Lonchura striata: one gene and its partners. The protein of the gene in region 4 purifies or fractionates together with the protein of the main gene of each other region. This does not show direct contact. Links are inferred from orthologs where the notes say so. Each region holds a gene or a part of one and is shown on either strand. Other genes may lie near its edges.

What was found.
Region 1: the proteins of ERLIN2 (region 4) and RNF185 purify together in Homo sapiens (affinity purification with mass spectrometry; 5 studies listed by BioGRID and IntAct, with this or other methods). This does not show direct contact. The link is inferred for Lonchura striata from reciprocal best matches to the Homo sapiens genes ERLIN2 and RNF185.
Region 2: the proteins of ERLIN2 (region 4) and INSIG1 purify together in Homo sapiens (affinity purification with western blotting; 4 studies listed by BioGRID and IntAct, with this or other methods). This does not show direct contact. The link is inferred for Lonchura striata from reciprocal best matches to the Homo sapiens genes ERLIN2 and INSIG1.
Region 3: the proteins of ERLIN2 (region 4) and TMUB1 purify together in Homo sapiens (affinity purification with mass spectrometry; 4 studies listed by BioGRID and IntAct, with this or other methods). This does not show direct contact. The link is inferred for Lonchura striata from reciprocal best matches to the Homo sapiens genes ERLIN2 and TMUB1.

What each region holds. Positions count from the first base shown.
Region 1 is NC_134620.1:4,592,383-4,599,925, reverse strand, and holds the start of RNF185 (E3 ubiquitin-protein ligase RNF185), read left to right. Parts: upstream 1-4,392; 5' UTR 4,393-4,499; intron 4,500-4,599; exon of another isoform or gene 4,600-4,688; intron 4,689-7,543. Other genes in the region: C18H12orf43 (protein CUSTOS), read right to left, coding at 505-859, 1,246-1,336, 1,662-1,735, 2,341-2,440, 2,694-2,741, 3,127-3,391. UniProt on the Homo sapiens protein: E3 ubiquitin-protein ligase that regulates selective mitochondrial autophagy by mediating 'Lys-63'-linked polyubiquitination of BNIP1.
Region 2 is NC_134603.1:149,213,604-149,221,972, reverse strand, and holds the start of INSIG1 (insulin-induced gene 1 protein), read left to right. Parts: upstream 1-5,098; 5' UTR 5,099-5,163; exon of another isoform or gene 5,164-5,272; intron 5,273-5,541; 5' UTR 5,542-5,557; coding exon 5,558-5,954; intron 5,955-8,044; coding exon 8,045-8,169; intron 8,170-8,369. UniProt on the Homo sapiens protein: Oxysterol-binding protein that mediates feedback control of cholesterol synthesis by controlling both endoplasmic reticulum to Golgi transport of SCAP and degradation of HMGCR.
Region 3 is NC_134603.1:156,868,587-156,875,288, reverse strand, and holds TMUB1 (transmembrane and ubiquitin-like domain-containing protein 1), read left to right. Parts: upstream 1-4,118; 5' UTR 4,119-4,164; coding exon 4,165-4,544; intron 4,545-5,016; coding exon 5,017-5,371; 3' UTR 5,372-6,004; downstream 6,005-6,702. UniProt on the Homo sapiens protein: Involved in sterol-regulated ubiquitination and degradation of HMG-CoA reductase HMGCR. Involved in positive regulation of AMPA-selective glutamate receptor GRIA2 recycling to the cell surface.
Region 4 is NC_134634.1:4,280,791-4,288,907, forward strand, and holds the start of ERLIN2 (erlin-2), read left to right. Parts: upstream 1-4,975; 5' UTR 4,976-4,998; coding exon 4,999-5,105; intron 5,106-5,218; coding exon 5,219-5,300; intron 5,301-5,474; coding exon 5,475-5,521; intron 5,522-5,725; coding exon 5,726-5,787; intron 5,788-6,928; coding exon 6,929-7,054; intron 7,055-8,117. UniProt on the Homo sapiens protein: Component of the ERLIN1/ERLIN2 complex which mediates the endoplasmic reticulum-associated degradation (ERAD) of inositol 1,4,5-trisphosphate receptors (IP3Rs) such as ITPR1.

The DNA of each region.
Region 1 (7,543 bases), on a different chromosome or scaffold from region 4:
TGTTGTGATGATCGCAGGGAAAAAATAAGGGGCCCTGATTTCTGACAGGATGCTTTTGAAAAATGAGTCTCCCATGGGCTGGAGCTATTCTTAGCAGTCTACAAGGAGGCAAAAAGTAGCTGATCACCTGTTGCCATGTAAACCAAATTCAATTCATCACACACTTTCTCCAGAAGGGTTTCATGATGTGAAGGAACAGACCAGGAGGAATGCAGCTATGATCACATCCCTCTGCCATGCAAGCCTGGCACAGGATTTAATCCTTTCAGATGGGGCCTGCACAAGCAGCAGCACAGCCAACTGCTGTGTGAGGAGAACAATGTTCCTTTCCTCAGGGACGCCAGTAGCACAGGAAGTCACTTAATTAGTCTCTCAGGCCACTGAGCTTTTAGAACAGATGCTTTGCCAATTAATTTTCCCTCATCTGCAGCAACTCTTGTTGTTAGGTTTTCTTTCAGTTTCCTTCACCCATCACAACCACCTGCTGTTTGCAGAGCAAAATCATCATTCTTTTTTCTTCTTCTTTTTCTTCTTCACAGCTCCTGGCAGCACAGAGTTCTCTCTGTGATGGCTGTTCTGTCTCTCCTGCTGGCCATTTGCAGACACCAACCGAGGCAAATCTTTGCAGATCTGGTCACACTCTGCTGGGTCTATTATTTTCTCTTGAATATTATTGTCTCTCCTCATTTTCTTCTTCTTCTTCTTCTTCTTCTTTTTCTGATTGGGTTCCACATAACTCTGACTCTGATCCTGGCTGGAGCCCTGGGACCATGCAGGGAAAGCACTTTGCTTCAGAATATCTGCAGCTGACACGGCAGCCTCCTGGCACCTTTGCCATTCTTGCTCACTGTCTGTGTCACTGGAAAGGCAACAAGAGGGAAGGAATTTGTATTGTATTTTTTCCTTGAATTCACCCAGAACTTGAACAGCAGAATAATCTGAGATGAGAACACACGATAAACACCCAGTGGCTCTGAGACTCCCACACCTACAGTTTGCATTTAACCAGTCTGAAGGCCAGTGTGCTCTTTACACACACTAGGAGGAGAAAGAAAATCTCCCACAAACGTTTCTCATTCTCCAGCACTAAAAAAGTAACAAAATTCTGGTCTAGTCAAATATAGGAGTCATAAATGCACACTTCTCAAGCTCTTCAGCTTCCTATTCCCTTGTGGGAGTCTCAGCTGCCTCTGAAATGTGGGATGCAACAGTACCTGAGGAGCAAAGCAGCTGCCAGCACCTCACCTGGAGCTAACTGGCCTCCTCCTCCTTGCTGCAGGGCAAGGCTCCGGCTTCCCACAGTCTCCAGGGACAGAGGAAGAAAAGAGGCGGAAACCTGAAGTATGGAAAGAGGGGTTTTAGGCAAAATATAAAACAGAGGTGGAATCAATCAACTGCTCTTTTCCTGGAAGCCTCAGTGCTGTTTCTGTATTTCCACAGTGCTTGACAGCAAATATTTGGGACTGTGTGGGAGGACCTGGGGCACAGAGGTCAGAACTGAAAAGGAGCAGCTCTCATAGACACCACCAGAAGTTCTTTCAGTTCAGAGCAAATGTTTATGAGACACTGGGATGCACTGTCCTGGTGATGGACAGGATCCACCCCACCTGTCAGCAGCCAACAGTCACAAAACAGATACAAAGGCTGAGACTGGAACTCACCATCATCTTCAGAGTCAGACTGTGCCAACCAAGTCTGTGATGGTCCTGATGAATCCTTCAAGACAGTGATGACACTAAACAGAAAATCCCAGTCAGATCTCAGACAGGTTTGTGCACACTGAGCTACAGGTGGGTATTTCTGGGAAAGAAGATTAGAGGGAGATGTTGCACAGATCCTTTTTTGTTAGTGAGGCTGCCTCAGCTCCCTGTTTCCAGAGCAGACCAGGCCTTCTCTCCTCAGCAATGAGGAAGAGAAGAACAGTTTGAAAACAGTGTTTCTGAAGCCAGCTCTGAACAGCAGGAATTCCAGTTCCTCAGGGCCATCCTTGCCTAATAGACAGAGGGGCAGCCCAGTATCATTCTGCCAGCACAGCCCTGATTCAGGGACTGGTGGAGGTTGTGAGAACAAGATTCTCTCGCCAGCCTTTACAGGATGGACGTCTCTTTTTCTCCGCACAAGATGTTCACCACAGAGGCAAATGAAGACACCCAGTGCTGCACAGAGAGTTTTGACTAGATGGGCACAACACATCAGCAAGGTTAGGTCACAGAATACTGGAAGTTTGTACTTAATACAGGCATGAAGGAGACAAGATGTTGACTTTCCCGTGTTTAGCACACAAACACGTCAGTGTAACTGACCCACAGAACACAGGTTTCAAGCCTTGCACACCAGTACCTGTCTAGCATGGTTCCCAGTTTCTTTGCAACGTGTGCTCTGAACTCTGGAGTCGTCTGGAGCTCATTGTCACCCTCCTCACGGCCGATTGCCTCACGCCCGTTTGAAATAAGAACAAGGATTATCTCTTTCGAGGCCAATAATATCTGTCCCTCTCACCCAAAGCCTTAAAAACATATTATCCTGTACAAATTTAAGCATAATTTCAGATTATGGTTGGACTAATTCCCCAAACAGAAACTTCCCCTTTCAGTACGAAGTATCATAAGGTACAAAGCAGAAGCAGCAAAAATATTGCACATAAATTTTTTCTTAATGGAAACATTAAGTCTGAAACCAGAAGCAAAAATACCTCAAGCTTGGCTGATCTTTAGGCTGCAACCGATCCTTTCTAAAGCCCCCTGAAAGGAAAGCAGCAAAGCACACTTAGAGACTTGCCAGAACTTCCTTAACCCCCGTCAGGCACATGTCAGAGCATAAAAACAATGCCTGAAAGACAGCCCTGGGCCGCCTTCGGGGGAGAACAGTTATGAGGGGAAAGGGGAACTCCCCTCAGGCCAGGACTGCCGGGAGGGGGCTCTGGGCCGGGCTGGAGGCCGGACATGGCTCGGGAGGGTCGGGCAGAGCCCCCTCGCTTCTGACACCGGCAGCGCGGCACAGAGGAATCCCCACGGGTCAGAAGTTGCGGAGGGGGCCGGACCGGAGCGGCGGGGCGGGGCGGGGAAGAGAGAGGAGGGCACGCCGCAGCGCGGGGAGCAGAGCCCAGTCTGTCCCCCGCCCTCTCACCGCCGCACGGCTCCGCCCGCGCCGCCGCCAGCGCGGTGCAGTCCCAGGCAGCCTCCCGGAACCGCGCGGCCGCTTCGCCGCCGCTGTCCGAGTCCGAGCCGGTGTCGCTGTCCGGGCCCGAGACGCCCCTGGGCGCCGCCATCTTGCAGGCGCGGGGCACGCTGGGCGCTGTGGTACGGCCGCAGCGCGTGCCGGGAGCTGTAGTCCGGCCGCAGCGCATGCCGGGAGCTGTAGTCCAACACCGTCCCTCGTACCCGACTTTCATAAACTGATCCTTGTTTTAATCAGCTTTTGGAGGATCCGGTTCATGTCTGTGGGGCCCTGGTAACGTTCTAATCAGTTACTACACTGACATGAAAGTTTTTGCTGGGGCATAGAAGCTGTGCCAAGCTGTGCTGGTGGAAAACGAGAGAGTGGCTTTGCTGGAGATTTTCACCGCTCTGCAGGTAGGAAGGACTGCTTTGTGTGCTCCTCATGCCATCAGCGCTGTCACGTTAAGTGCTACATTTTCAAGTCATCTTGAAATTTTCTGGTGTGAGACAATGTGTTTGGTGACTCCAGGTGGGCTTCTGGATAACCATTTTGCTGTGGGTTTTGCCAAGCCTGTGTGCAGGAAAGCAGCAGAAAGATTTCGTATAACTGTTTTTATCCTGGTGGACACTTCCCGGCTTGCACCTTCCAACCTCCACGCCAGAACTCTGCACTCTCAGGCTGCCTGGCAGCAGACAGGTCACTGCCAATATCCTTGGGCTCTTTCTGATGGGTTCCCTTGGCACTAACTTCCCTTAATTTCTTCACTATTCCCTAATAAAACTCACCTGCTATAGTGGAATACCTTGGTTTAGGATTTACCCGTTCTCCACCATGTAAAGAACAAGCAATTTTGGGCTGTTTTGTACCTTGGAGTTCCCAGGACTGGTGGGGTGCCCTCAGAGCTGGGACAAACCCTCCAGAAATGCCTTCTCGGGCAGGTCACCTCCTCTCCCTCGCTTTGGTCCCTCTGGTTCTTTGGTTTCTCACAACTGTATACATACCTTTATCAATCTCTAAATACCTTTATCCAGCTCTCTGTTTCCGTTTCCATCCTGGAGATTCTCAGCTCAGATTCTTTCCATCCTGAATCCGCTTCTCGGCTCAGACTCTTAGCACTCTACACTCCTAAGTCAACACTTCGTTTCCCTCAAACTTACGTCCTTCCCTTTCCGTCCTTTTCTTTCCTCCCTTCCTGCTTGGGCCGAGCTTTCTCGGCGCGCTCCTGGCAGTGCCCGGCGCCGCCGTTCGGAGCGGCCCCGCCCCTCCCCGGGCAGCAGAGCCGCCCACGCCCGCAGGACCGGGGGTCGCGGCGGGGCCGAGCGCGGGCGGGGCTGCCCGAGGTAACGGGGCCGGGGGCCGGGGGCCGCGAGGGGCGGCGGGGCGGGGGCCGGGCCCTTCCGCCGGCCGCGCTTCCGGGCGGTCAGGTGACGGGCCCGGCGGAGGGCGGCTCGGTTCGGCTCGGCTCGGCGCGGCTCGGCGCGGCTCGGCTCGGCTCGGCTCGGCGCGGCGCGGCGCGGCGGGAGCCGCCGGTGAGCAGGGCCGGGCAGGGCCGGGCCGGGCGCGGTGGGGGGAGCCGGGGCCGCGGCTCCGGGGCCGGGCCGGGCCGGGCGCTGCGAGGCCGGAGCCGTCCCCGCCGCGGAGCGCCGGCCTCGCCCGGTGCCCTGGAAGCGCGGCCGGCGGGCCCGGGCGAGTCCCGAGCTCCGCGGCTTTGCGGGGCTCCGCAGGTGCCGGCGCCGAGCGGGGCCCGACCCGCCGCCCGCAGCGAGGGATGGCTCGGGCACGGCTCGGGCACGGCTCGGGCACGGCTCGGGTACGGCTCGGGTACGGCTCGGGGCACGGCTCGGGCACGGCTCGGGGCACGGCTCGGGCACGGCTCGGCCACGGCTCGGGCACGGCTCGGGCACGGCTCGGGTACGGCTCGGGGTGTCAGCTGCTGCGGCGGGACACCGGATATATTTTGAGAATTGCTCGTACATTAAGACTCGCTTGTTACTTCTTAAATCACGTCTGTTGTATGTAAAAACTGCTGTGTTTGATATTTTTACGTTTTGCTGCTAACCTGGGTTAGCCAAGCACGTCTCTCACACGGCACTGCAAACCAGGAAAACGCTGGGGCAGCATTACCCAACTGGTTATATTCCTTTTTTTTTTTTTTTTTTCCCCCTTTGGACTTTGTGAGGTAAGAGGATAAAATCTTTGTTGAAAGATTTTTCTTGGAGTCTATATTAAACCTTTATGGAACGGATAACAAAAAAGCAGTTACTTGAATCATCCGAGGGTTTTTGCTGTTTGCATTTACAAGGTACATGGACTCCTCGGTGTTCCCAAAAGAGCCCTTCAGCCTGGCAGCACTGACTGTAACACAGATGTGCATTGCAGAATCCCAGTTCATGAAACGAGGCCAGCAAGGGCACGTTGGACTGGAAGGCAAATGGCTGCTTTTGCAAGAGCAAGTGATCACAAGTGAATTCATGTTTTGGGACCACTTTGTGGTGATATTAAAATGCAGGTGCCCAATACGGGTTGCCGGAAGTGGAGAGATGAAACTTGAGAAATGTTTCCAAGGAGTTAAAATGTAACATGTTTGGGGGATAGAAAAGAGTAAAAAGGTAGTGAGAGATAAATATGTATTTAATGATTAACAACAGGACACTCATTCGTTTGTTAAAAATATCTAAAATGACTGTCAAGAAGTCAGTGCACTTTCTTCTAGGCACTGTCAGCAATTTTCAGCTAAGGTTACCTGGTTGTACTTGAAGCCCAGGCAATTGTAATATGTTAAGTTTCAGATTGTTGTTAAATTTATGAGTGGGCATATTTATATAAACTCTCAGTAGTAGTTTTAGATTTAAATTTATTTTCTAATTTGAATTTTCCTTTTGTAAAATTTTTCAGTGTCAGAAAATGACACTATTACCTTAGGGATAAGAAAAATACACTGACAAATCTTTTTGATTTAAACTGCAAAAGGTTCAGGAACTAAATCAGAACTTGTTTCATAAACAAACTAGATTTAGATTATTTAAATTTCAGTAATCTTAGTTAAAATAAAATTTATTAGGAAAGAAATATGGAAAAGGGTCTTTCCTGTGGAATTGACATCCAACAGTGCTGCTCTTTTTATTTCATTGTTATGGCAAAGAGGAACAAACTTTGGGTTTTGTTAATAAACTAGCCAGACTTCTATATTCTCACCAGAACTTTTTCTCATTTTTTCATGAAAAAAAATAAATACTTGAGACATCCTCATGTCATGCTGTGAACACGTATTCCAGGACTGTTTTCTATAGGTGAAATTAGCTTCTAATTTATAGTCCCTCTTTGCCTTTCTCAGGTTGAATTAACATTGAATTAATGCTGTTTCCAGCAGGTTTTTTTGTGTGTACCTTAACTTATGGTGAAAACTCCCCTAGCCTGTCTTGAAGTGTTTTTCGTGTGTTTTGAGGGCTAGGCAGTGTACTTTGGCAAATGCAGTCATTTGCTGAGTTCAGAAGTGTGATCTTTGACAGTAGCCACTCAGCTCGTGCTTTCCTGGTGTACAGTAGATTTACAGATGAAGTTTTTAAAATATTAGGGGAAAATTTCTTTCTGACTGAGATCCATACCCAGCCCATGGACATGCCCAGTCCCCTGCACTTACTCCTGTCGTGGACCTCCTGTGCTCTCAGCTGTCACCACACGTTCAGGTCCTTCTGGAGTTCCACCCTCTCATGTACCTCCACTTCCATGTCTTCATGCTCCACCAGGTTTCTGTATTTATTTAGGAAGCCTACTTGCAGATGAGTTCCTTGTTTCTTAACTGTTCCTCTGCTGCCACTCTTGATTCTTGGTAGTAAACGTCAGTCATTTTTCAGAAGAACCTGTTGGGGTATAACATAGGGATTGTGGTTTAAAGGAAATAAACAGCTAATCTAGATGGCTTTTATGAAACAAAGATAATGTTTTCCTGTAAATATGTAGAGAGCAAAGAAGTAAGAAAGAGAAAAGGCAAGATCTCAGAATGCCTGCAGTTAGGTATCAGCTGATTTTTATATCCTTTCCCTTGTTTTGTTTGTTGCTCATCATGCCTCCAGGGTTGATTTGGAGACCTGATCTGATGGATAAGTTTGTAGCAAACCTGCAAACCTTGACTGGCATCCCTCAATTGTGTTTACTTAACCCCAGAAGTCATATTCTATCTCAGTGTACTCAGTCTTCCTCCCAAACTCTAAAGCAAATTGAGAATGGGGTTCATTTGGCCTGTTGTGTTAGTTGTTGATTTTTTTAGTTTGTGATTTGCATATGGTTTATTGTTTTGTTTTTTTTTTTTCCTAGAGAGTTTTGTCTCAGAGTTTAAGAAGTTTGAGTGTTCGATTTTGAGCTCATTGTTCACTCAGAACAGGTT
Region 2 (8,369 bases), on a different chromosome or scaffold from region 4:
ATCACCAAAGAAGTAACTTTTTCAGCAATATAACCAACAAACAGTATTTTTTCTTAATGAAGTTTAGATTAAATCACCATTTTGAATACCAAGTATGAATTTACTGAACTCTCTGCTACATAAATATGCAGAACTTTGATGATGAATGAAATCAAAAGAAAGGCAAAGGCACTGCCTTTGTGTCAGGACAGAGGTTCATTGACAGGGAGTCAGTACCCACAGCTGCATGTGGGATGTTGGTTGGCTAATTATATGATAGCTGTTACATGGATTTATAGACATTTGAAGACTGCAGCCTGCATGGAATTGTTCTTTCTGTTTTGTTCTGGTAAAAAAAAAAAAAAAAAAAAAGCAGCTAGAGAAACATCAGCAACTAAACAAAAAACATTCAATTAACCTTTGTCATATGCCCACTACAATATTATTAACTACACAAAGACAAGGCTTTGTTCAGATACCTTAAGGTTTAATTTCCATGTTCAAACTCCAGCTATTGTTCCTCACCCTCAGATTATGTAAAAGCAGCCAAGTTTTTAAGCTCTGCTCACTGCAGATGACTCACATTATTATACACTAACCAGCATCACACTTTGTTTTTCCCCTTTGTTTTACATGCCTGAAGTGTTCTGGCTGGAGTTTGCCTAGTTCAGAGCTTGTACATTCTGCATCCTGCATCCTGCCCTGTAATCACTCCCTGTCCTTCTCCTTTCAGTTTTTAACGAGCTCCTGCACTGGGGCTTGGGCAATCTCACAGAGCCACCCTGGAGAACTCTGCATACACCATTTACATCTCAGGTGTTCTGACCTCTGAGAAGGAACCAGGACATCAGTGACAAGTGCTGTCCTGCATGGTCCTCACTGGGACCAGTGTTATTGAATGTCTCCATCAATGACACAAAGGGATTGGAGGCAGCCTCAGCAGGTTTACAGATGACACCAAGCTGAGTGGTGCAGTGGCCACACCTGCAGGACCTGGATGAACTTGAGAAGTGGCCCACAAGAATGTCCTGTGGTCTAACAAAGCCAAGTGCACGGTGCTGGGTCTGGGCTGGGGCCACGCTGGTGACAATCCAGGCCAAAGGATGAACAGATCAAGAGGGATTTGGGGGCCTGGTAGATGGGAAACTAGACATGACCTGGCCATGTGCACACCCATGTCCTGGGCTGCGTCCAAAGCACCGAGAGCAGCAGGGAGAGGGAGGGGATTCTGTCTCTCTGTTCTGCTCAGACCCCACCTGGAGTGCTGCATCCAGATCTGGGGTCCCCAACACAGGAAGGACATGGATCTGTTAGAGCAACTCTGGTGGAGGCCACCAAGATGATCAGAGGGATGGAGCACCTCTCTTACAAGGAAAGGCTGAGAGAATTGGGATTGCTCAGCCTGCAAAGAGAAGCCTTCAAGGTGACCTAATTGTGACCTTCCAGTACCTGAAGGGAGCCCACAAGAAACATTGAGAGGGACTTTTTACAAAAGCCTGAAGTGACAGGACAGGGGAGAATGGCTTCACCTTGAGAGTAGGTTTAGGTTAGATAGCAGGAAGAAATTCTTTATTGTGAGTGTGGTGAGACCCTGGCACAGGTTGTCAAGGGAATTTGTGGATGTCCCATGCCTGGAAGTGTTCAAGGACAGGTTGGATGGGGCTTGAGCAACCTGATCTAGTGGAACCCCCATGGCAGGGGGTTGGAGCAAGATGATCTTGAAGGTCCCTTCCAACCCACACCATTCTATGATTCTGTGATCTGCAGGCTTTGCTGCAGGTTCCTGAGAATTCACACAAGTACACTGGAGACCATTGATAAAGCAAAGAACTCAGGATGACAGACTGCTGCTGAAGTCGAAAGATTTTTTGAACTCTTGCACATAGGGTTGGCATAGGGAATCAGACAATGAATGTCACTAAATCCTTTCATAGAGACACAGGAGATTAAGGCTGAGCATATGACACTGGGAAGGTTTCTATTCTCTGTATCAATAGGAGAAATTCTTGAAGGTGAATAAAGTCAAAAAAGTCTCCAGTGAAGCAGAGGGAGAGCAGTTTTACACATAAAACAGGCCTTGCTCTGTGATTCTTCACCACTGCCTTTTGAGCTTTTATCAGCAGACAGCTCATGTTTTGATCTGGTTTAAGTAGGGAGAAAAATAACTTGTCCAAGTATCCTAAACTTCCCACGTAAGAGGCCCATGAGACAGCCCTCATGAGGCAAGCACATTGTCAGATTCTAGAACATCACAGAGTTTAACACAGAAAGTGTGAAAGAACAGGTGAAATTATTTATTTATGTAATGAGTAGCAAGGCTGAATACTTAGAGATTCTGCTGCCTTTGCTAAGGGATGAGATAAAAATAACGATGTCATTAATCTTACAAAGACATGTGAGCGCTTCTTTCCAGAAATAACTGTTAAGCATAAAATTTCAGGCATTAATCAAAGCATGCTGAGGCCTAACCTTCCTTAGGATTCCAAAAAGAAATGTAAAGCAACAGGACTGTAAAGCAACACGAACAAAAGGGGCATTTAACCTTCATTCTAAGTGTGTAACTTTGGGGAAAATATGCTCAGGGACAGGTTATTGACTAGTTTAGATTTGCACTGATTCAGCTGGTTTTAGCAAAGCTGCAGCAAGTTTTACCCTCTCAGAAGTTGGTCTCTGTTGTCTCAAAAGAAACCAGGAAGAAAGAAGGGCACCACCACATGATATCATGAATATGAAAAAAATGCATATAAAATATTCAAATAAAATATTCTGCAGGAAATAGCAAAAAAAGCATACTCACGAGGAAAGGAAAAACACAGGATGAAAAAAAAAATTGCTTAAGAGGTTCTTTTAGGAAGGAAAACTAGCAGATGCAGCACAAGGGAATATAAACTCTGCCCAAACACTGAAAATATGGGCAAGATTCAGGGGGGGAATTTAAATACAGAAATATATTTTTTCAAATAAAGTAGAGATGCAGCACAAGCAAGGATGAATTATATTTGTTTCCCATAAGCCAAGTCCAAGAAGAGATTTCCTACAAAGATGAATCATTTTATCTCAGATCCACAGTCCTGTTGATAAATCTCAAAGTAAGTGATTCACCAAAAAAGAATATTTCCCAGGGAATGAGTTCTAGCCCTTATTTAGAGCTGTTGAAGGTGTTTCTTAGTGGTGTGGGGATGCAGATAAATTGTCTGTGTCAATTCAAAGCTTGTACACAGTGGCCATGAGGGGAAGTGTTAGGTCTGCATGTGATTTCCTGAAACAAAATGTTGTGCAGAGGAACCCATAAAAAGCTGACAATATATCAAGGCTGTTTTCTCTCAAAATAGTTGACTGAAACTTTTTGTGCAGATCCAACTGGGTCAGAAAAAAATCCAAAAACAAATGGAGAAAGAGAAATATATTGTGTCTTAAAAAAAAATCTGACAGAAGAATCTGAACAATTTTAGCATATTAAAGTAAAACCAAAAGCTGTTTCAGTACTGTAAATAGCAACAGAAACTGAGTATTTACAATTCCACTTACAGAGGACACATGTACCTTGGTTCAGCAGTAAAGTCTGCCAGACATTACTGGGGTGATCCCAGCTGGCATTAAGAGAAAAATACTGGGCTCATCTGTCACTTCCAACAGTGGCACTAACAAATCTGTCCTGTACATTTTCCAAAGGCACTTTGCTCAGCAGGATCAGTTACGCTAACTCTTCCTATCCCAGCTAGAAAGGGATAGCCATATCCCAGGTCAATTTTACTCTTCATTAATGCAGAGAAGACCTGCCTCTTTCCATATCTTCAACTGATTTCATGTATTTTATTTGCTACGTTTATCACATCAGTGAAAGACGACTGGAACCACCACTGAGCACTGATCCTGGACCATCGTTGTGCCCATCATGGGCATGGCTAACAGCTACCCTTGAATGCTCAGTGCCATCCCTTGGGAAGCCCTTGGGTCCTGTATTCCTCCTAAGTGTAACAATGGCACAACCTCATGTGAAAAGATCTGCTGGACCATTGAGGCTAGCGAATAAACACGAAGCCCAGCAATTCCTACTGCAAACGCCAGCCTCCCATGTGTCCTGGAGAACCAGCGTCTCAAAAAGGCATCCTGGGAGCTGAGTCCTGCTCTGTGTACTCATTTTTTTGGTGCTGAACTCTACCATATAATATACAGCTCACACTTAACCATCCCTGACAGGCCTCTTCCCAAACCCTTGCAGAGTACAGAGGGTGAAGTTGTATTTAACTGGGTTTTTGTTATTTTGGTCTGGCAGGATTGTGACCTGAGCTTTGCTAGTGCTGGCAGAGCAGCTGCTCAGGCTGTCAGGGCCCAGTCAGGAGCCTCGGATCCTCCGGTCACCCCATGGCTGGCTGCTGACGCAGCGTCTGGCTTTGGCACCACCATCTTACGGAGTCATAGCCTTGGCAGGATCCCCTTACACCATTTTAGAATTATGACAGAGATCAGTGATCCCTTCGTCTTCAGGAGAGGCCACAGCAGACGCCTTCAGCCTTCCCCATTACTAACTGCCATCACCCAAAGGGACACGCAGCAGGCTGGGCAAGCACACGAAGGTTTGCCTGCAGCGGCCACTGACACTTGGGCTTAAAATGAGTCTGGGGAGATTCAGATTATATAGCTGAAAAAAAAAAAAATCACTTTTAGGGTGGTCAGGCATTGGGATAGGTTGCCAAGGGAGGTGGTGGAGTCACCCTGCAGGTGTTCAAGAAGTGTCTGAAGCTGGCACTGGGTGATGCGGCTTAGTGGTTTAAGGGCTACAGCGGCGCCACTGGGCTCACAGTTGGACACGATGATCTTAAAGCTCTCTTCGAACCTCGACCATTCCATGATTCCGTGACAGCGTCACCACCGCCGGCATCTCCATCCCTCCACCGCCCTCCCCTTCCCGCCCGGGAGCGGCGCGCATCCCGGGCGCGCTGCCGCCGCCGGCGGCGCGGAGCGGGCGGAGCGGCGGGCCCGGGAGGCGGGTGGTGTGTCCCGCACGTCATATCAGCCGCCCGCCCGCCATTGGCTGCGCCGCCTCACCCGAGCGGGGCCGCGGCCGCCCGGGGCTGGCGCGGCGGCTCCCGCGCCCGGCGCTCGCCCCGCCCGGCGGGGAGGGGACGGGCGGGGCGGCGGCGCGGAGCGGAGCGGCGGGCCCGGCGCTGCCTGCGGCCGCGGGTAGGTCGGCGGCGGGTAACGTGACATCCGCGGCTCGGGGTTTATAAACCTTACCCGGGGCGCGGGCCGGCGGCGCGGCGGCCGGCGCAGCCCCCCTCTCCATCCCGAGGTGAGCGGGACGCGGGTGCCCGGGGACAGACGGACGGGCCCGGGCAGGGAGCGATGCCCGTCCCCGCGGGGGCGGCGGGCCGGGGTCCGTGTGCTCCCGTGGGGACGAGGCGGCGCAGCCCCGGGGTTGCTCGGCCGGGCCGGGTCACCCCGCATCCCCCGGTGCCCGGCCGGCGCTGGAGGATGCGGCGGTGCGTGTCAGCGCGGAGGGAGGCGCGGCCCGACCCGTTGCTGGGGCTTTAGTAGCGTGTGGTTGTGCGTGTGTTTCAGGACTCCGGAGAAGCCAATGCCCAGGTTGGAGAGCTGCGCCTGGAGCTGTTCCTGCACCGCCAGAGGAAGGCACAGGAGCCAGCTGGGGGACACGGCGGCGGGGCTGGCCGCCAAGGTGGGCGAGATGCTGAGCTCCTCCGTGTCCAGCCCCTCGCTGGCGCTGGTGGGTCGCGGAGCTCGCAGCCCCAGCACCTCCAGCGCCAGCAGCACCGCCAGCAGCGCCAGCAGCACCTTGAACTGGAGTCAGCACCTGGTGCAGAGGAGCGTGGTGCTCTTCGTCGTGGGTGCTTTCATGGCCCTGGTGCTGAACTTGCTGCAGATCCAGCGGAACGTGACTTTGTTCCCCGACGAAGTGATTTCTACTCTCTTCTCCTCCGCCTGGTGGGTGCCCCCGTGCTGCGGCACAGCAGCAGGTGAGTGCCTGACCTCCACCAGCGATTTCAGCTTTATTCCTCATCCTCTCGCGGAGGAGGAGAGGCGGTGGGGCTGAATGCTTGAGCCGTGCGCGTGGGAGCCCCGCGTTTCCATCCCACAGCGAGAGATGCGAGCTCGGGCACTCGGGAGGGTGCGCGCCCGGTCCGTCCCCGCGTGTCCCGGGGCCGCTCTGGAGGCGGTGCGCTCTGAGGGCGGCCGAGAAGCGCGGGCTCCGCGCGGGCTCCGCGGGGCGCGGCGGTGAGCGCGGCGCGAGCGCGCTGGCCCCGCCCCCCGCCGCCCATTGGCTGCCGCCGAACTGGTGAGTGGCGGGCGGCGCTCGCCATTGGCTGCGGCCGCGACTGGCCACGGGCTGGGCCACAACAAGGAAGTCACGTGCGGCGGCGCGCGCGGCCCTGTCGCCACAGCGGGCCCCGCCACCGGCCCGGGCCCTGCTCCCGTCCCTGTCACCTCTCTGTCCCCTCTCTGTCCCCCGTCCCTGTCACCTCTCTGTCCACCGTCACCTTCCTGCCCCTGTCACCTGTGTGCCCCTTCCCCGCTGCCCCCGTCACCTGCTTGCTCTCGCCACCTCGCCCGCTGCCCCTGTCACCTCCCCGTGCCCTGCCTGCTGTCCCTGTCACCACTGCTGGGCAAGTACCACAGAAGGCTCAGGCCGCGGTGTGGTTGTCACAGCAGCTGGCGCATACTTCGTGGTTTATCATTCATAACACCCCCACCCCCCCCCCCCCCCAGTCCCTCTGTCTAGGCAAAACAAAGTTTTGGTGAAGGGTTGGAGGATTAAAAATGGAGATAAATTTTAGGAAACGAACCCACTCTTAACAGTTTTTAATTTGCGTTGAAAATACTTTAAACAACTTCTGCATATTTTTGTTTAATGCATATTTTGTTTAATGTTTTGTGTGATGTCTGCTTGTATCACACAGTGAAGGGGGTATGAATGATAAACCATAAACTCGAATAAATAATGAACTGTGTTAATTAATGGATTACATTAAAGGATGAACATTAAAGGGATGGCCTGGGATATTCTCCAATGAGAGTTCTTGTAGTCCTGTCACAGTTGGATTAAACTTTGGAATTCAGGTGTTAGCATAAGTTAAGAGTCCTGGTAGCTGGTGTCAGAGTAATTAAGCTGTTTCAGAACACGTCTCTATTGGAATAGCATGTTCTCTAGCCTTCTCTAACACAGAATTTATTACTCTTAGGAGTTTAAGGAATTAAAAAAAAAAAAAGAGCAGGAAAGGAAATAAATAAACACAGAAGTTGCACTTAGTAAAAGCAGCACATCTAACCCTGGAGTTGGTGACAACTCAGGGAGTTACAATCCCTAGAAGAATGAAACTCTGGTGTTCTTGCCAACAACTGAGCTAACACTGGCCTATGGTTTTCTTCTGCAGCCAACTTTCAGGCTGATAAAGGCTGAAAAATGCTTTATGGAGATAAAAACTTTGTCTTGTTAATTGTATGAGTAGTTATTTTTCCCTGATATAAGTAGACTGATGGCAGCTGCTTGTTTAAGTTCAGCTCTGCTTCTGTTTGGTATCAAAATTCATCTGACAACATGGACAGGAGCCCTGGGCTGACTTACAGCCCAGCAGAAAGAGAGAAAGCAGCTCTGCTAATAAACTTTTTAAGTCCAGGCAAATACTTAATTCAGGGCCTGATTCACAGCTGATGAATCATGTTCATAAAGCTGTCAGCCCTGCACGTGAGCAATGAACACAGATTGCACTCCTCGCAAAGCTTTTATTGTGCTTTGCTTTTATTGGTACAAGTGTTTGCTCAGGATGTCAAATGACAAATCTCTTTAAACAAAAGAGCTTCAAGTCAGATACCTTAACAATGCAATATATATTTAAAGGTTCAAAGAGAATGCTGCTTGTTACACTGGGGTTTTCACTTCTCTAAAGAAGAAAAGCTGGGTAATAATTGTGCTTTCTCCATCAGGCTTACAGCGGTGCGATGAGCACCTCGTTGCTTTCTCAAGCCCTTATGTGCCAAGCTAATATTTGGTGGTGCTGGAGTAATCCTTGCCTAGCAGCTGGTCCAAGTGGTGTTCCTTCTCTTGCAGCTGTGGTTGGCCTGCTGTACCCCTGCATTGACAGCCACCTCGGGGAGCCCCACAAGTTCAAGCGGGAGTGGGCCAGCGTCATGCGCTGCATCGCCGTCTTCGTGGGCATCAACCACGCCAGCGCTGTATCCTTCAGCTGCTCTCTGCTCCAGTGCTTGCTCTGTGCTCATCACACTGTCTCTGCCACTCGGGTCTGGGGGGGATTGCCAGGGTAAAGGTGGTGCTCCTGGCAGAGAAGGTCTGTGAGACCTGCTGTACGCTGCAGTGGCTGCTGTGAGATGTGTGACACAGCTCACTCGGAGTGTCACGGGAGGGGAGAGGGGTT
Region 3 (6,702 bases), on a different chromosome or scaffold from region 4:
GGGGAACTGGAGCCTGGAGCATCGCAGAGGTGCAGAGGGAGCAGAGCAAACAGATGGAACTGGGGCTTAGCAAAGGGATGGGAAAACCCAGGAGATGAGTCCAATCTGCTGAAAAGGCAGGAGCGGGTGGGGACAAGCCGAGGCTTTCAGGAGCAGACATTCCCTCAGGCATGGGCAACCACCTGCCTTCTGCAGACACGGGCCACTTGAAGATGTGAACTGCTTTTCAGGATGGATTTCAGCTCAGATCCTGAACTTTCTCTGCTCCATCTGCAGCCCTTCCATCTGAGGCTGCACTTCGTGAGTGCCTCAAACCGGCACCGCTGCCAAGAGGAGCTGCCACCTCCTTCACTACCTCCTCCTCCTCTTCCTCCCCCTCCTTTTCGTGCTGCTGCTCCCAGCCCCAGACCCTGGTACCTGTGGTGCCCATGGCAGTGGGGTGGAGCAGGATGGCTGTGAAGGGCCCATCCCACCCAAACCATTCCGTGACACCAGACAGTGCCAGGCCCATGTGGGGCAGCAGGAGGGTCCCCACAGCAGACCCCCAATGTCCACCCAGGACGCGGGGCTGGAGAGCAGCACCCCCAGAACAGAGCTGAGGGGGGGCCAAGGCGCAGAGCTGAGCTTCAGTCATTGCCCGAGCAAAATGGGCAGAGAGGAGGCCCGGGGGCTCTCCAGGGCTTTGTGGCTCCTCAGAGCGCTGAGACACGGAGGTGTTGGATCAGTCTTGCAATAAAAACCGGGGCTTTCTTTCTGTGGGGACATGTCTGTTGTGAGAGCTGAGAGCACAGTTGGGGACCCGGCTGGGGACCCTGCTCCTCTCCCCCAGACTAAGGGGAGTAGGAAACTCCGTCCGTCTCCGGGAGCTCGGGCTGCTGTCCTCCGGTGCACCCAGCAGAGCTGCGGCTCCTGTTCCGAACACATCGGCGCTTTGCTGCGCGGCAGCACTGCCTGCGGGAGAGAGGTGTTCACGTCGCCCTGCAGTGGCAGGGACAGCTCTCTCCGGGCGGCGGCTCAGGCAGCAGCTTTCCCCGGAATAGCTGCGGCTCTCTAATCTCGCTCTGCAGCACGGGGGTGCCGCTGGTGCCACCCAGACCCGCAGCAGCGCTGTGCGGCGCGCCCCGGCTCCCGCCGCTCGGCGGCTGCCGCGCTCGCTGCGGCTCCGGCGGGTCCCACGCGGAGCCCACGGCCCCGCGCTGTGCCGGGACGCGGCGCGGCTGCCGGCCCCGCAGCGTGACCCGCCGGGACCGCGGCTCTCTGCCACCCCCGCGATGCCGCAGGCCAGCGCGTGGATGTTGGGGGCAGCTGGGACCTGTCCCACTCCAGGTGTCCGCCTGACTCTCCAGGGCCCCGGGACCCTCTCCAGCGCTGCCTCCGCGCGAGCCAGGGACACCACAGGGTGGACACCCATGTCTAGGGTGGTGTCCCGGTGTCCCCAGTGCCCCACTGGGGCAGAATCCCTCTGTGACCCCTCTCTGGCCACAGCCCCAGAGCAGCTGGACTCTGAATATGTGGGCTCTGGGAAAGAGGCTGAAAATGGAACAAGGTGGATTAAACCCCCCTGGGCACGGTGGAGGTCCTGACCAGAGCTCAGGGCCAGCAATCCCAGCAAGGCCTGAGGGACAGGAGGGGGGCTCAGCCCAGTCATGGGGGCAGAAACGCGGAGAAACACTGAGGAAAGGTGAAATGGTGAATGAAGAGTAACCAGAATGAGGGGACCATGAACGCTGGCAGAAACACAGTGGGGCAGCCCTTCTCATGAAAATATTTTCCCCAATATCCAAAACCTCCCCTGGCACAACTTGAAGCTGTTTCCACTTGCCCTGTCCCTGTTCCCTGGCGCAAAGCCCGACCCCCCCGGCTGTCCCCTCCTGTCAGGAGCTGTGCAGAGCCACAAGGTCCCCCCTGATCCCCCTTTGCTCCAGGCTGAGGCCCTGCCCAGCTCCCTCAGCCCCTCCTGGGGTTCCAGCCCCTTCCCAGCTCCAGTCCCTGGACACACTCCAGCCCCTCAGGGTGTTTCTCGGGTCGCAGCAGTGCCAGCCCAGGGGCCGGGCACTGCCGGGTTCCGCTGTGCCCTGGGAGGGCAGAGCCACCGTCACAGCACGGCAGAACTGCAGGAAGGGGCTGGGACACCTTTGGGTGCCACTGCGGGGGTCCCCACCCTGCTGACCACCCCTCTGCCGCCCACAGAGCCCGGGCAGGGCAGGGCAGGGCGTTCCCACCCCCGGGACTGGCCATGGCTTCAGCTCACCGCTCCTTCAGGAGAGCATCAAAACTCCAAGGGACCCAGAGCAGCCCTGGGCACGGCAACACAAACGCTGCCTGGCTCCGGGCTGCAGAGCTGAGGAGCACAGTCCGCTCCGCTTTCCTGGGAACTGAAGGTGACTGGGAAGAGCTTTCAGGGGAATATTAAACAGCTTCTTAATCGAGACAGGGAGGATGGAAAAGTCTCACTCTCTGGGAGCTGAAGGCAGACAAATCCACAGTGACAACCAGACACTGGGATTATCTGGGAGGGGATGAACCGCTGGATAAACCCTCAAATCTGAGCAGACACAACCCCTGCAGCAGTGGATTCAGGCTCATTCCACTGTCGGGAAGGGTAAATCCCGGTTCTGTGCCTGCACGGATCAGCCACGGTTCAGATCTGCTGCTGTGCCACATCCACTGCCCCGACAGCGCTGGGATCTGCTGGGCAGCTCTGGCCCAGATGGGCTTTGCCTCTCTCAGGGATCCTGCCCTGCAGCCCCTCCTCGGGCTTTGCCTCTCTCAGGGATCCTACCCTGCAGCCCCTCCTCGGGCTTTGCCTCTCTGGGGGATCCTGCCCTGCAGCCCCTCCTCGGGCTTTGCCTCTCTTGGGGATCTTCCCCTGCAGCCCCTCCTCGGGCTTTGCCTCTCTCGGGGATCCTGCCCTGCAGCCCCTCCTTCCCACCCAGAATCCCAGCACGGAAACCGTGACTCCTCTCCCGGAGGCTCTCAACCCCACGTACCCTCAGCAGGAAGGGGCTGCCCTGGCACGCTGATGCCTCCCGGTTTTATCCTGATTTCACCCTGATTTTTTCCCAGGACAAATAATATGGAGGATAAAATCCTCGTGATCTTATCCCAGGAAATGTCAGTGCCACACCAGTGAGAGACCCATAGAGGGGACATTCTGGGAACAGGGGACATTGTTGTCCAGAATTTTCCTTCCATCCACAATGGTCCTGTATGGGAGAATCATTTTGTTCCCATCTCCCCCATCCCTGTTGCAGTATTTCCGTGGATGGACCTCTTCACCTAAAAGTAAGACTTGTTGACATAAAACCAAGAACTTTTCACTTAAAATTAAGAATCTTTCGCCTAAAATGAATAATTTCTAGCAAAAAAATAAGACATTTTCACCTAAAATTAACAATTTTTAACCTAAAATTAAGAATGTTTCACCTAATATAAAAGATTTTAATAAGAGCCTGCAGGTAGCTTTGGTCACTCCTGGAGATTCACAGCTCCAGAATCACTGAGGGTAGAACTCTCAGAGATGCCTGAGCTTGCCCACCCTCAGCATGGCCCTGGCCACCACTGCCCTTGTCCCCAAGTGACACACGCACAGGAATTTAAACCAGGAAGTATCTAGAGTATCTGGGAGTGACTGGAGCCATACTGGGGGTGACTGCTAGCAACTGGAACTACACTGGGGACAAATGGCATCACACTGGGGTTAACTGGGTTAATTAGAATTACACCAGGAGTGACTGAACCCATGCTGGCAGCAACTGGGATGGTATTTGGAGCAGCTGGGCCCATGCTGGGTAAAACTGTGACCACACTGGAACTGTGTGGGAACACCCTGCAGGTTACTGCAATAACGCCGGGAGTGTCGGAGGGGCTGGGATCGCACCGAGAATGCCGGTGCGCCGGCAGTAACCGGGAGTACACCGGGCGTGCCTGGCGCCGGGACGGGACTACAGCTCCCGGCGTGCTCCGCGCGCCGCCCCACCCCGCCACGGCTCCTGCCGCCAGGACTACACGTCCCATGGCCCCCCGCGCCTGGCCGGAAGCGGCGCGATGGCGGCCCGAGCCCGGCCCGGTGCGGCCGCGGCCCCGGTTCCCCGCGGCCCCGCGGGCTGAGGCCGCGCCCGCCCGGTGCCCTCTCCCGGTGCGACCCCCGCGCCTGCCACCGCCATGGCGCTCATCGAGGGCGTCGGCGATGAGGTGACGGTGCTGTTCGCGCTGCTGCTGGCGGCCGCCGTGCTGGGGCTCGCCTGGGCCTCCACGCGCGCCCCCGAGCCCGCGGCGCCGGCGGCTGAGGCGGCCCCGAGCACGGCCCCCGCCGAGCGCAAGGCCTCGGCCCCGGCCCCGGCCCCGAGCCCGGCCCCGGCCCCGGCCCCGGCCGAAGCAGCGGCGGCCTCCGATGAGGCGGCGGGGCCGCGGCACCGGAGCGCTCCCGCGGGCACCGCCGAGGGCCCCGCCGAGCCCACGCTGGTGCTGCGGCTCAAGTTCCTGAACGACACGGAGCGCTTGGCGCGGGTGCGCCCCGGGGACACCGTCGGTACGCTCAAGAGGTGAGGGCGTGCGGGCCGGGGCGGCCGGTCCCGGGCCCCGCCGGGCGTCCCTGCCCTCCCCGCAGCCCCTGGCGAGGACAGCGCTGGCCCGGGACAAGCGGCCCGTGCCCGGGCGGCGGGGCCGTGGGACAGCCCGTGCTGGCAGGGACGCCTGGGCTGGCTGATGGGCACACGCACGCCCGGGTGTGCGGGCAGGGCAGGGCTGGAGGACCGTGGTGGGTGCGTTGGCAGGGGGTGAACAGAGGGACTGTCCTGGCAGGTGGCAGCTGGGCGGGCACAAGCGTGCGGGGTCAGGCGTGCGGGGCAGGGTGGGGGCTCAGGGTGGGCACGTTCATAGGATGTGGATGACACTTGGGGTGGCTGACCGGGACACACAGGCTCAGCTGGGCACGGGTGGCGTGAGGGCTCACAGTGGGCACAGGATGGGGGTCAGTCCTGTCAGCAGTGTGACTGCTGTCCCCGTCTCCTCCAGGACCTACTTCCCGGGGCAGGAGCAGCAGGTGCGGTTGATCTACCAGGGGCAGCTGCTGCGTGACGATGCCCAGAGCCTGGCAGGGCTGCACCTGGGCCACCTGAGCGTCCTGCACTGCCACCTGTCCCCACCCAGCGCGGCCCCCACGGCTCCCGGCACCCCCGGTCCCCGCAGCCCCGCGCCCGCCGCACTGGGCGTGGGCAGCCTGGCGCTGCCCCTCTTCGTGCTGCTGCTGGCCCTGCTCTGGTACCTGCAGCTGCAGCACCGACACGTCTTCACCGCCACCGCCACCACCTGCCTGGCCGGCCTCACCCTGCTTGTCACCTTCGTGGCCTTCGCCATGTACCGCAGATAGCGCGGCCCGGACCAGCACTGGGGACACGTGGGACCTGGAGCCGCACCTGGGAACCTCAGAGCCTGCCCGAGCCACCAGGGACGTGGAGGACTCTGCATCCAGCCCCCTCAGCGTATCGGGGGCACGTGGGGCCTGCCCACTGCGGCTGAAGAGGAGCGCTGGGCCCTGGACTGTGTCCCCCGGGGGCCCCGGAGTCCCGAGCAGGCACCCACACCTTGTCTGCACACAGGGGCTGTGTGGGAGTGGGGGCTCAGCTACCTCGGGGGCTCCCAGTGCCTCCGTCCCTGCTGGCAGCATCCCCCCATGCACTTGGCGTGCAGAAGCCCCTCGGGTGCGGTCCTGCCCGAGCTGCTGGCCGTGCCCGCGGAGCTTTTCCTGGGAATACGGCCTGGCCCCTCCCTGGGGCTGCTCCCGGGGGTTCCGGTGCCCGGGGAGGGACATGAACCCTGGGGTGCCGAGGGTCCTGGTGCCGGCGGGATACGCTCCTAAGGTGCCTGTACCGGGGGAGAATTCGTGCCCCCAAGCGGTCCCGGTGCCGGGGGTGGCTGCACTCCCACTGTCCCGGGGGTTCCCATGCTGTGTTGGGGGGTCCCACCCCCCACCGCCGTTCCGATTAAAGCGGAAAGACTGTGACCGGCCGTGGCGTCCTGGCTGTGCTGCGCCGCGGGTCGGGGATGCGGCGGCAGCGGCAGCGGCGGCGTGAGACCGGGAACGGGGCGGGGGCGGGGCAACGGGAGGGGCGGGGCCTGGCTCCTCCCGCCACGCGCTCCGCAGGGCCGTAGCGCGCCTGCGCCGGTGGCTCCGCCCCGCTCTCAGCGGAGCTCTCGCTGATTGGCGGAGGTGCGGCGCTGATTTGCATGCGGCGCGCGCCGGCCCCGCCCCGGAAGCGCCGCGCGCGGGGCGGGGCCGCGGGAAGATGGCGGCGGGGCTGCGCTCCCGGGCCGTGCCCGTGCCCCGGCGGCGCTGAGCGGCGGCGGTGGCGGCGGGAGCGAGCGGCCGCCAGCGCCATGTACGGCCGGGCCGCGTGGGGTGGGCAGGGAGTGCCGCCGGGGGGACCCGGGCGGGCTTGGTGCCGGTGGAGGTCGGGGTATGCCCGGGAGAGGGGCGGGGGACACCGGGCAGGCGGGAGGTCCCGGCACCGCGGGGCCGAGCGGGACGCGGGCCCGGACAGGGCGGCGGGCCCGGTGCCGGGGAGCCGTGCGGGCGCCCGGGGCCGGGGATCCCGGTGGGTGGGGGGAGCGGCCGCCCCTGGCCCCCCGGCCGGCCCGCGGTTCCCTCCGTCACGGCCCCGCCGCTCTGTCCCGCAGGGTCCTCCGGAGCCGCGGAGCCCC
Region 4 (8,117 bases):
GCCAGGTCCATGGTGGGGGTGTCAGGTCCGTGGTGGGGGTGCCAGGTCCATGGCAGGGGGGCCAGGTCCATACCGGGGGTGCCAGGTCCATGGCAGGGTGCTGGATTTGGGGTGACAACCCCAGCAGACCTGCAGCAGTGGGCAGTGCAGGAACCACCCCCTTGGTTCCCCTCATCCCACACCTCTGTGAGGCTCAGAGGGAAATGCCTTTTGGGGGGTCAGCACCCGGCCAGGACTTGGACCCACATCCACATTCCTTTGTCCTGATTTTATTCGTTAGCAACATTTGGCCTGGATATGGAGACAGCTAATGAGGGACGGAGTTTATTGCAGTTTGATTTTTCTGTTAAAACAATACAATAAAATAAATGCACTTGGAAATCTGGTCTGTGTTTGTACATAGGAGATTTATGGCTCTGAAGGCTTCCAGAGAGACGCAGCCTTTCATTCCCTTCCTTATTGGAACAGATCATGTTGCAGAGTTTAAAGGCCTCTGGAGCTGTGATTTATTTGAAGGGAGAAATAAGGGAAATCCAACTATCTGTTCCCTGGCTCGGATCATCCAGTAACTCCCAGCCAAGGGGACGGATCTGCACCTCCTCCACGGACTTTTAAAATTTTTTTTCCCTCCTGTCACTTACATTATCCTGCTCTAAATATATCACCGAGCCAGGGATGACTCCTGACCTGGGCGTCAGCACCTCACCGAGGTTTCCCCAGCCCTTCCTGGAATCCCACAGATAAATCTCTCTCCTAGAGCCCTGTCCGAGCTCCTCCACGCTGCTGATTGGACATGATCTGCGTGGAGCCAGCTGCTGCCTTGATCCAGAACTGAGGTAAAGGCAGGATCTTGGGGTTATCTCTGGATTCAGGTGATAAATTCATGTCACCTGTTGCTGCTCCCCTCCCTTGCTGCTCTCCTGGGCACAGAAGAGCACGGCAGCTTAGAACCAGGTCAGGATTTGTGTCTGAAAACCTTTTCCATGAACTTGGAAGCTCAGCAGGAAGATGCTGCAGCTCCCACACTCCATGCCGGGGCTGCCACAGCCACCTCCCTTTGACCCTTACAGAGAAAAACTGTGTTTTCCCCTTCTCTGAGGTTTCCTGCTCAGGAATGAAGCACCTGGAAGGCTCCGTGGTGCTGTGGTGCACCCCAGCCCATCCCAGTTATCCCAGTGGATCCCCCCAGCAGGAGCAAGGTGAGAACATTCCCTGAGCATAAAACAGACATTTTGGAAGCATTTGGCGTTTACAGGCCCGAGCTTCATGGTTCTGGTGCAACTCCTGCTTGTCCCAGGTATCCCCTGGACTTCTGAGAAAGGTGAGTGTTGGTGCCATCTGCACCATCCATCCTTTGCTGTGCTGTTGGGACACACGTGAGAGGAGAATTCCCTTCTCCACCGTGACATCTCACTGTGGGTCAGGGAAGGAGTGACCGAGGTTCCCAGCTGGGGAGGGAACCTGGCTGTGATGGCCACTCTCCTCCTCCTGGAGCTCCATCCCAGCTCCTCCAGCCCATGTTTTTGGCAGGCCATTCCCTCCCCCTGCGCACAGACGGGCTCTGTTTGCCATTAGCTTTCCCCCCTCTGCCCCAGGAGCCCATCCCAGCACTAATTCTCACGCATGTTTCGGGTAAATCTACTTTCTTTCCCGGGATGAATTGTGGTTTCCAAGCACCATTAATCATTTCCCTTTAGAAAACAGCATTGGGGGGCTGGAAACACATTGCTCCTTTATTTACTGGGGGATGACCTGGCACGCTGGCACCCAGCCACAGGGCTGGCGCCTGCGGGACGATGAGGGGCGCGGAGAGAAGCCTCAGGGAGAGCTCCCCTCCTGTGCTGGGAACTGATTCCCAGCGGGATCACCTCCCCCAGGACAGACCCAGCTCCTGCCCAGGGGCTGGGGGAGCGAGGGGGTGGTGGTGGGCAGGAAAAGGCTGGAAATGCCACGTGCTGTAGTGCTTTCCCAAGAGCCTCCTCCCAGGGGCTGTTCCCTGGGAGCTTGGTTGCCCCACGGCAAGGGCAGGAATGTCTCCCCACTCTCCACCCGCCCCACACGCCCTTTCGAGGGGATGTGGGTCCAGGACCCTCAGCTCATGGGTTTGGGTGGGCCCAAGGTGGAGGAAGCCCCCCTGCCCCGCCGGCCGTGGGGAGGGGGCACCAGGACCACGTGTGAGCTCCGGACTGTCAGGGGATGATTAATGGCCAACGCCACCGAGCTGCCTGCGCTGCCAAGAGCTGCATTGTTAGAGCTGACACGGAACGAGCCCGGACACTCTCAAACACAGCTCTGCCCCGTAATCAGCAAATAACATCCAATGGACAGAACTGGGGAAGCGTTTCCCCACACAGCCCCTGCCATCCCCGCCCTGCCCTGCCCTGCCTGCCAGAGCCAGAGCTGGAGCAGAGCAGGAAGGGGCCCAGCCAAGCACCCCCGGCCTCCCAGCTCCTCCCAGGGATTTCCCTTCCTGGGCTCCACTGCTGCTTCAGGTTTCAGCTAGGGGACAGCGGGGATGGGATAGGATGGGATCCATGGATGGGATTCATGGGATGGGATCAATGGGATGGGATGTATCCACAAATGGGGTGGAACTAGAGATGGAGGCAGAATTTGGGATGGGGTCTGGGACAGGGTAGAAATGGAGATGGAGACAGGAGTGGGGTTGGGGCAGGACTGGCGAGCAGAGCTTTCCACCCCCCCGCTCCAGCTGCACAGGTAACCTTAAACGCCAAAGCAGGAGCGTGGGGACAGAGTTTTTCCAGCCCCATTCCCAGCTGTCAGGCGGTGATTAATGGCCAACAGCCTCGGAATTGCCTTTATTGCCAGCCCAGCATTGTTACTGCTGACAGCTAACGAGGGCAGACAGGCTTCACACCGCGCCTTGCACTGCCCCACCGGGACTGAGCCGGGCCTGCCAGGACTGAGCCAGGCTTGAGCCAGACCTGCCGGGACCGAGCCGGGCTTGAGCCAGACCTGCCGGGACCGAGACGGGCTTGAGCCAGACCAGCCAGGACCGAGCCGGGCTTGAGCCAGACCTGCTGGGACCGAGCCGGGCTTGAGCCAGACCTGCCGGGACCGAGCCGGGCTTGAGCCAGACCTGCCGGGACCGAGCCGGGCTTGCCAGGACCGAGCCAGGCCTGCCAGGACCGAGCCGGGCTTGAGCCAAGCCTGCCAGGACTGAGCCAGGCTTGAGCCAGCTGTGCCAAGACTGAGCTGGGCCTGCCGGGATGGAGCTGGGCCTGTCCCACTGGGGCTGCCCTTGGCTATCCCAGCTGTGCCCATGGCCATCCCAGCTCTGCCCATGGCTATCCCAAATGTGCCCAGGCCATCCCAGCTGTGCCCACAGCCATCCCAGCTCTGCCCGTGGCCATCCCAGCTCTGCCCATGGCTATCCCAAATGTGCCCACAGCCATCCCAGCTCTGCCCATGGCCATCCCAGCTCTGCCCATGGCCATCCCAGCTGTGCCCGTGGCTATCCCAGCTCTGCCCGTGGCCATCCCAGCTCTGCCCGTGGCTATCCCAGCTCTGCCCTTATCCCACCCAGGGCCTGCCTGGGTCCCATCCCAGCTCCATCCCCACGAGTCTGGAGCCATGAGCACCCAGAGACCCCCAGATGGTCTCACTGAACTCCACAGAAAACCCCACAGGAGATTTTTACAAGGGCAGGGGGATGAGGTAGGGATGAACAAGCTGGAGAGAACTGGGTGCAATAAACCATTTATTCCTACAAACAGCCCTGTTAAAACCCCGAGAGCTGTGGCACAGACACCACTGAATGTTCCTGGCTTCAAGTCCAGCGGTAATGATTTTTTTTGGCTTTCATTTTTTTTTTTTTAGGATTATTACAAATAATATTTACCTTTGTGCTGGTTCACATCTTGATGCTGTTAAACACGTGGCCGCAGCTGGTTTCCCGCTCAGGGCAGTGATATAGTGCCGCTGTTATGAAGCAAAACCTCTCCTGTGAGCCAGAACACCCCACATTTAAAAACCTATTACTTTTCAATATTCCATGGATGCATTTTGCTCCAGCTCAGAGCAATTTCCTAGTTTACCCTTATTAAACTGAGAGGGGCTGAGCAGAGGTTTGTGATTTATGAAACACACACTAGATTCATTAAAACCCTTAAAGATTTAATACATTTTATCAAGGCCTTAAATCTGGGCAACCGCCTTTAAAAAAACACCAACTACAGGGTGTTTTTCATCTCTGGCGCCCTTTTGCGCTTCTTTAAGAGCTGTAAAATTTGGATTGACAAATATCGTGGATATTTCATTCCTTATTCCTAAATGGCGCTGAACCCTCCTGACAGGGCTGTTATGTATAACCTCGGAGATCCATCACGAGTAAAGATCAAATCATTCTCCCTTACTGACGTTTTATCCGTCTCTCCCGTGGTTTTTAAGGCCCTTTCCAGGATCAGAGCTGGACGGTTCTGTTTTCTGGCCCATCCCATTTCCTGAGATTGCCCAAAGCAGGCCCGGCGAGCCGGGGGGTCCGTGTCGGGGCGATGCCGGGGGAGGGCGCCGATATAAATGTGAAATGAAAATGTTCTGGCTGAGAACAGTAGTTGCCAGAGGGGAATCCAGGCTCCTGCTCGGACATTTGGCCGGCGCTCGCAGGGACACGGTGGGGTTGTTGGGGTGTGTGCAGGACCAGGAGCCGGACTGGATCACCCCGTGGGTGATCCACGGAGGATCTTCGGTGGGAAACGTGGAACAGTGGGAAGTGGAAATGGGACTATCCCGGCCCGTGGCAGGGCTGCAGCGGGACGAGTCTCGCTGTCCCCGCCGACACTCGGCGCTCTGTGCCCGGCTCGGGCGGGGAGAGCCCCGGGGGCTCCGCACCGCGACCCGCGGCGGGCGCGGGCGGGTCTCGAACCCGCGGCCTCCGGCGCCACATCCCCGCTCCTCCATCGCCCCCTGGCGGCGGCGGCGCGGGCGCGCGGCGATGACGTCAGTGGCGCGCCGCCGGTGCCGCCGCCGGTGCCGGGCATGGCCCAGCTCGGCGCCATCGCCGCGCTCGCCCTCGGCGTCGCGGCCGCCGCGCTGCTCTCGGCCGTGCACAAGATCGACGAGGGGCACATCGGCGTCTACTACCGGTGAGACAGCCCGGGGGGCCTCGTGCGGGGAGCGGGCCGGGCCCCGGCCAGCCGCCGCCGCTCACCGTTCCCCCTCTCTCTCTCTCTCTCTCTCCGTCCCGTTCCCTCCGCAGTGGCGGCGCGCTGCTGACCTCCACCAGCGGGCCCGGTTTCCACCTCATGCTGCCCTTCATCACGTCCTACAAGTCAGTGCAGGTGCTGCTGGGCCCGGGCCCGGGCGGGGCGGGCACCGGGGGAGCCCGGCTGTCACACCGGGCTGGCCGCGGCTGCGGCCGTGCCGGTACCGGGCAGAGGCGGCTCTCGCCAGCTCGGTGGGATTTGTGCCGGGGAAATCCCTCTCTTAAACCTCTTTCCTTCAATCCCCTGCAGACCACGCTGCAGACGGACGAGGTGAAGAATGTCCCGTGCGGCACCAGGTGAGGAGTTCGCTCTTCCCTTTCGTCCCAGAGACTCCTCAGACACCGAACCGCTCTGCAGCCCCGGCTGGGCTCACCGGGAGGCTCTGCAGGGCCTCCCCGGGACCGGGAGCTCCGGGACAGGGGCTGGGGTGTGCTGGGTGGTCCCACCGGAGGGGTCAGTCCCTTCCTGCAAGGATCATTTTGTGCTTTCTCCCTTTGCAGCGGGGGAGTGATGATTTATTTCGACAGGATCGAGGTGGTGAATTTCCTCATCCAGAGCGCGGGTGAGTCCCAGCTGTGCCCCGGGGCCGTGCTGCAGTGAGGGAGGTGCTGGGGCTGGGGAGGGAGCTGGGCTGTCCCTCAGGTGTGCCCCAGGAGGGAGCCGGGATGTCCCTCAGGTGTGTCCCTCAGGTGTGCCCCAGGAGGGAGCCGGGATGTCCCTCAGGTGTGCCCCAGGAGGGAGCCGGGATGTCCCTCAGGTGTGTCCCTCAGGTGTGCCCCAGGAGGGAGCCGGGCTGTCCCTCAGGTGTGCCCCCAGCACCTGGCAGAGCCCTGGCTGTCACCTCTGACCCCTGCCCTGGGAATGTGAGGTGTTGATTGTCTCCTGCTTGTATCACCTGCATTATCCCAGCCCCTGAGCTTTGTGCAGCACCGTGGAGTCAGGGAGGGTGCAGGGTCTGTGAGCGAAGCAGCCCAGGGAGAGCCACCTGGGCAGCCTTTTCCCAGATCCTTTGGGTTTGAGCCTGGGAGTGCCTGGCTGGGCAGGGAGGGGTGTGTGGTGTGTGTGTGTGTGTGTGTGTGTCTCTGTGTGTGTGTGTGTGTCTCTGTGTGTGTGTGTGTGTCTCTGTGTGTGTGTGTGTGTCTCTGTGTGTGTGTGTGTGTCTCTGTGTGTGTGTGTCTGTGTGTGTGTGTGTCTGTGTGTGTGTGTCTGTGTGTGTGTGTCTCTGTGTGTGTGTGTGTCTCTGTGTCTCTGTGTGTGTGTCTGTGTGCGCGCGTGTGTGTGTGTGTGTGTCTGTGTGTGTGTGTGTGTCTGTGTGTGTGTGTGTCTGTGTGTGTGTCTCTGTGTGTGTGTGTCTCTGTGTGTGTGTGTGTCTCTGTGTCTCTGTGTGTGTGTCTCTGTGTGTGTGTGTCTCTGTGCGCGTGTCTGTGTGTGCGCGTGTCTGTGTGTGCGCGTGTCTGTGTGTGTGTGTGTTTTCAGCCCCAGCACAGCCTGGGGGTGCTTCACACCCTCCTGTTCGCAGGGCAGGGGGCAGACGTGGGTGAGAGTGCCACAAAACAGCAGCAGTAAACAAACCTGCCCTGAGCAGGTTTGAGGGCAGGGGGGGCCCTCATTTCATGCTGCCCTGAGGCCGAGCTCCAGGGCTCTCCCTGAGCGCTCAGCCTCCTGTCCCTGCTCCAGCCCTGCTCTCTGCTCTCCTCTCCCAGTGTACGACATCGTCAAGAACTACACGGCTGACTACGACAAGGCTCTCATCTTCAACAAGATCCACCACGAGCTGAACCAGTTCTGCAGTGTGCACACACTGCAGGAGGTGTACATCGAGCTGTTTGGTGAGTTGCTGCTGCTGCTTCAGAGCCCGCTGGTGGCTGTTAGCCATTAATCCCGCCTGGAGCTGGGGCTGTTAGCCAGCTGTCAGCCTTCATCCTGTTATCTTTTGGAGCTGACTGCTGCAGTGTGTGCTAACAACAAGCTCCGAGCCCAGCCCAGGCAGCCTCCCTTTAGGGAAGGCAGCAGGAATTCTGTGGCATTCTCTGTGATGGATTGGATGGGTCACAGGGCTGTCTGAGGCAGATGGAAGAGCGGGCTGTGGCCACAGACAGTGACTATTTTCTGCTGTCACAGAAACTCTGAGCAGGCACCACTGGCCCGAGGCTGGCTGAGCTTTGGGGCTGCAGTGCCATGAACCAGGAGTGCTGGCGGGGGCCACCAGGGAGGCACAGGGCAGGAGAGGCTGAGCAGAAGCTGTGCTTGCCTGGAGGGGTTGGCCCAGCAGCTGCCAGTGCAGCTGGCTCTGGGCTGGCAGGAAATCCTCCCAGGCTGCCAGCACTGGCAGTGCTGGCTGTGGGCACAGGGGCCCAGCAGGACAGGCTTTGTGCCAGGGTGAGCACAGGCTGCTTGCAGGCTCCTGTTCTCTCCAGGCTCTCCAAGGTCCCCTTCCCACACAAGCTGTGGGCCTGGGGCTCAGATCCCCCCAGTTCCAGTTCCCAGCTCCTGCTGGTGGCTGGGCGGGTTCCTGGCCCGTGGAGGCTCCAGGTGTCAGCAGCTGCTGTGTGAAATGGGCTGAAAGCTCCCGCTCTGCACAGAAGGAACTTGTGCAAACTCCCTGGGAGCCCTGGGCTGAGCTGCCTGGGTCTGGCTCGGGTCTGCAGTGGGGCTGTGCCCCACTCTGAGCGGCCTCACGTCACCCTCTGCCCCCACATCTGCCAGCAGGTGCAGGGAACTGATAGCAGCTGCGTCCCAAACTCCTGGCTGGGCTTCCTTAGGAGCCTGAGCTCCAGATAGGAAACTGGGACCAAAGCAAACAGTCCAGGAGTGTGATGTGATCCCTCTTAAGGCTGTTACTGTTTGATTTTCCCTCTGCACTTCCCAGCAGGCCCCAGTTGGAAGCACTGC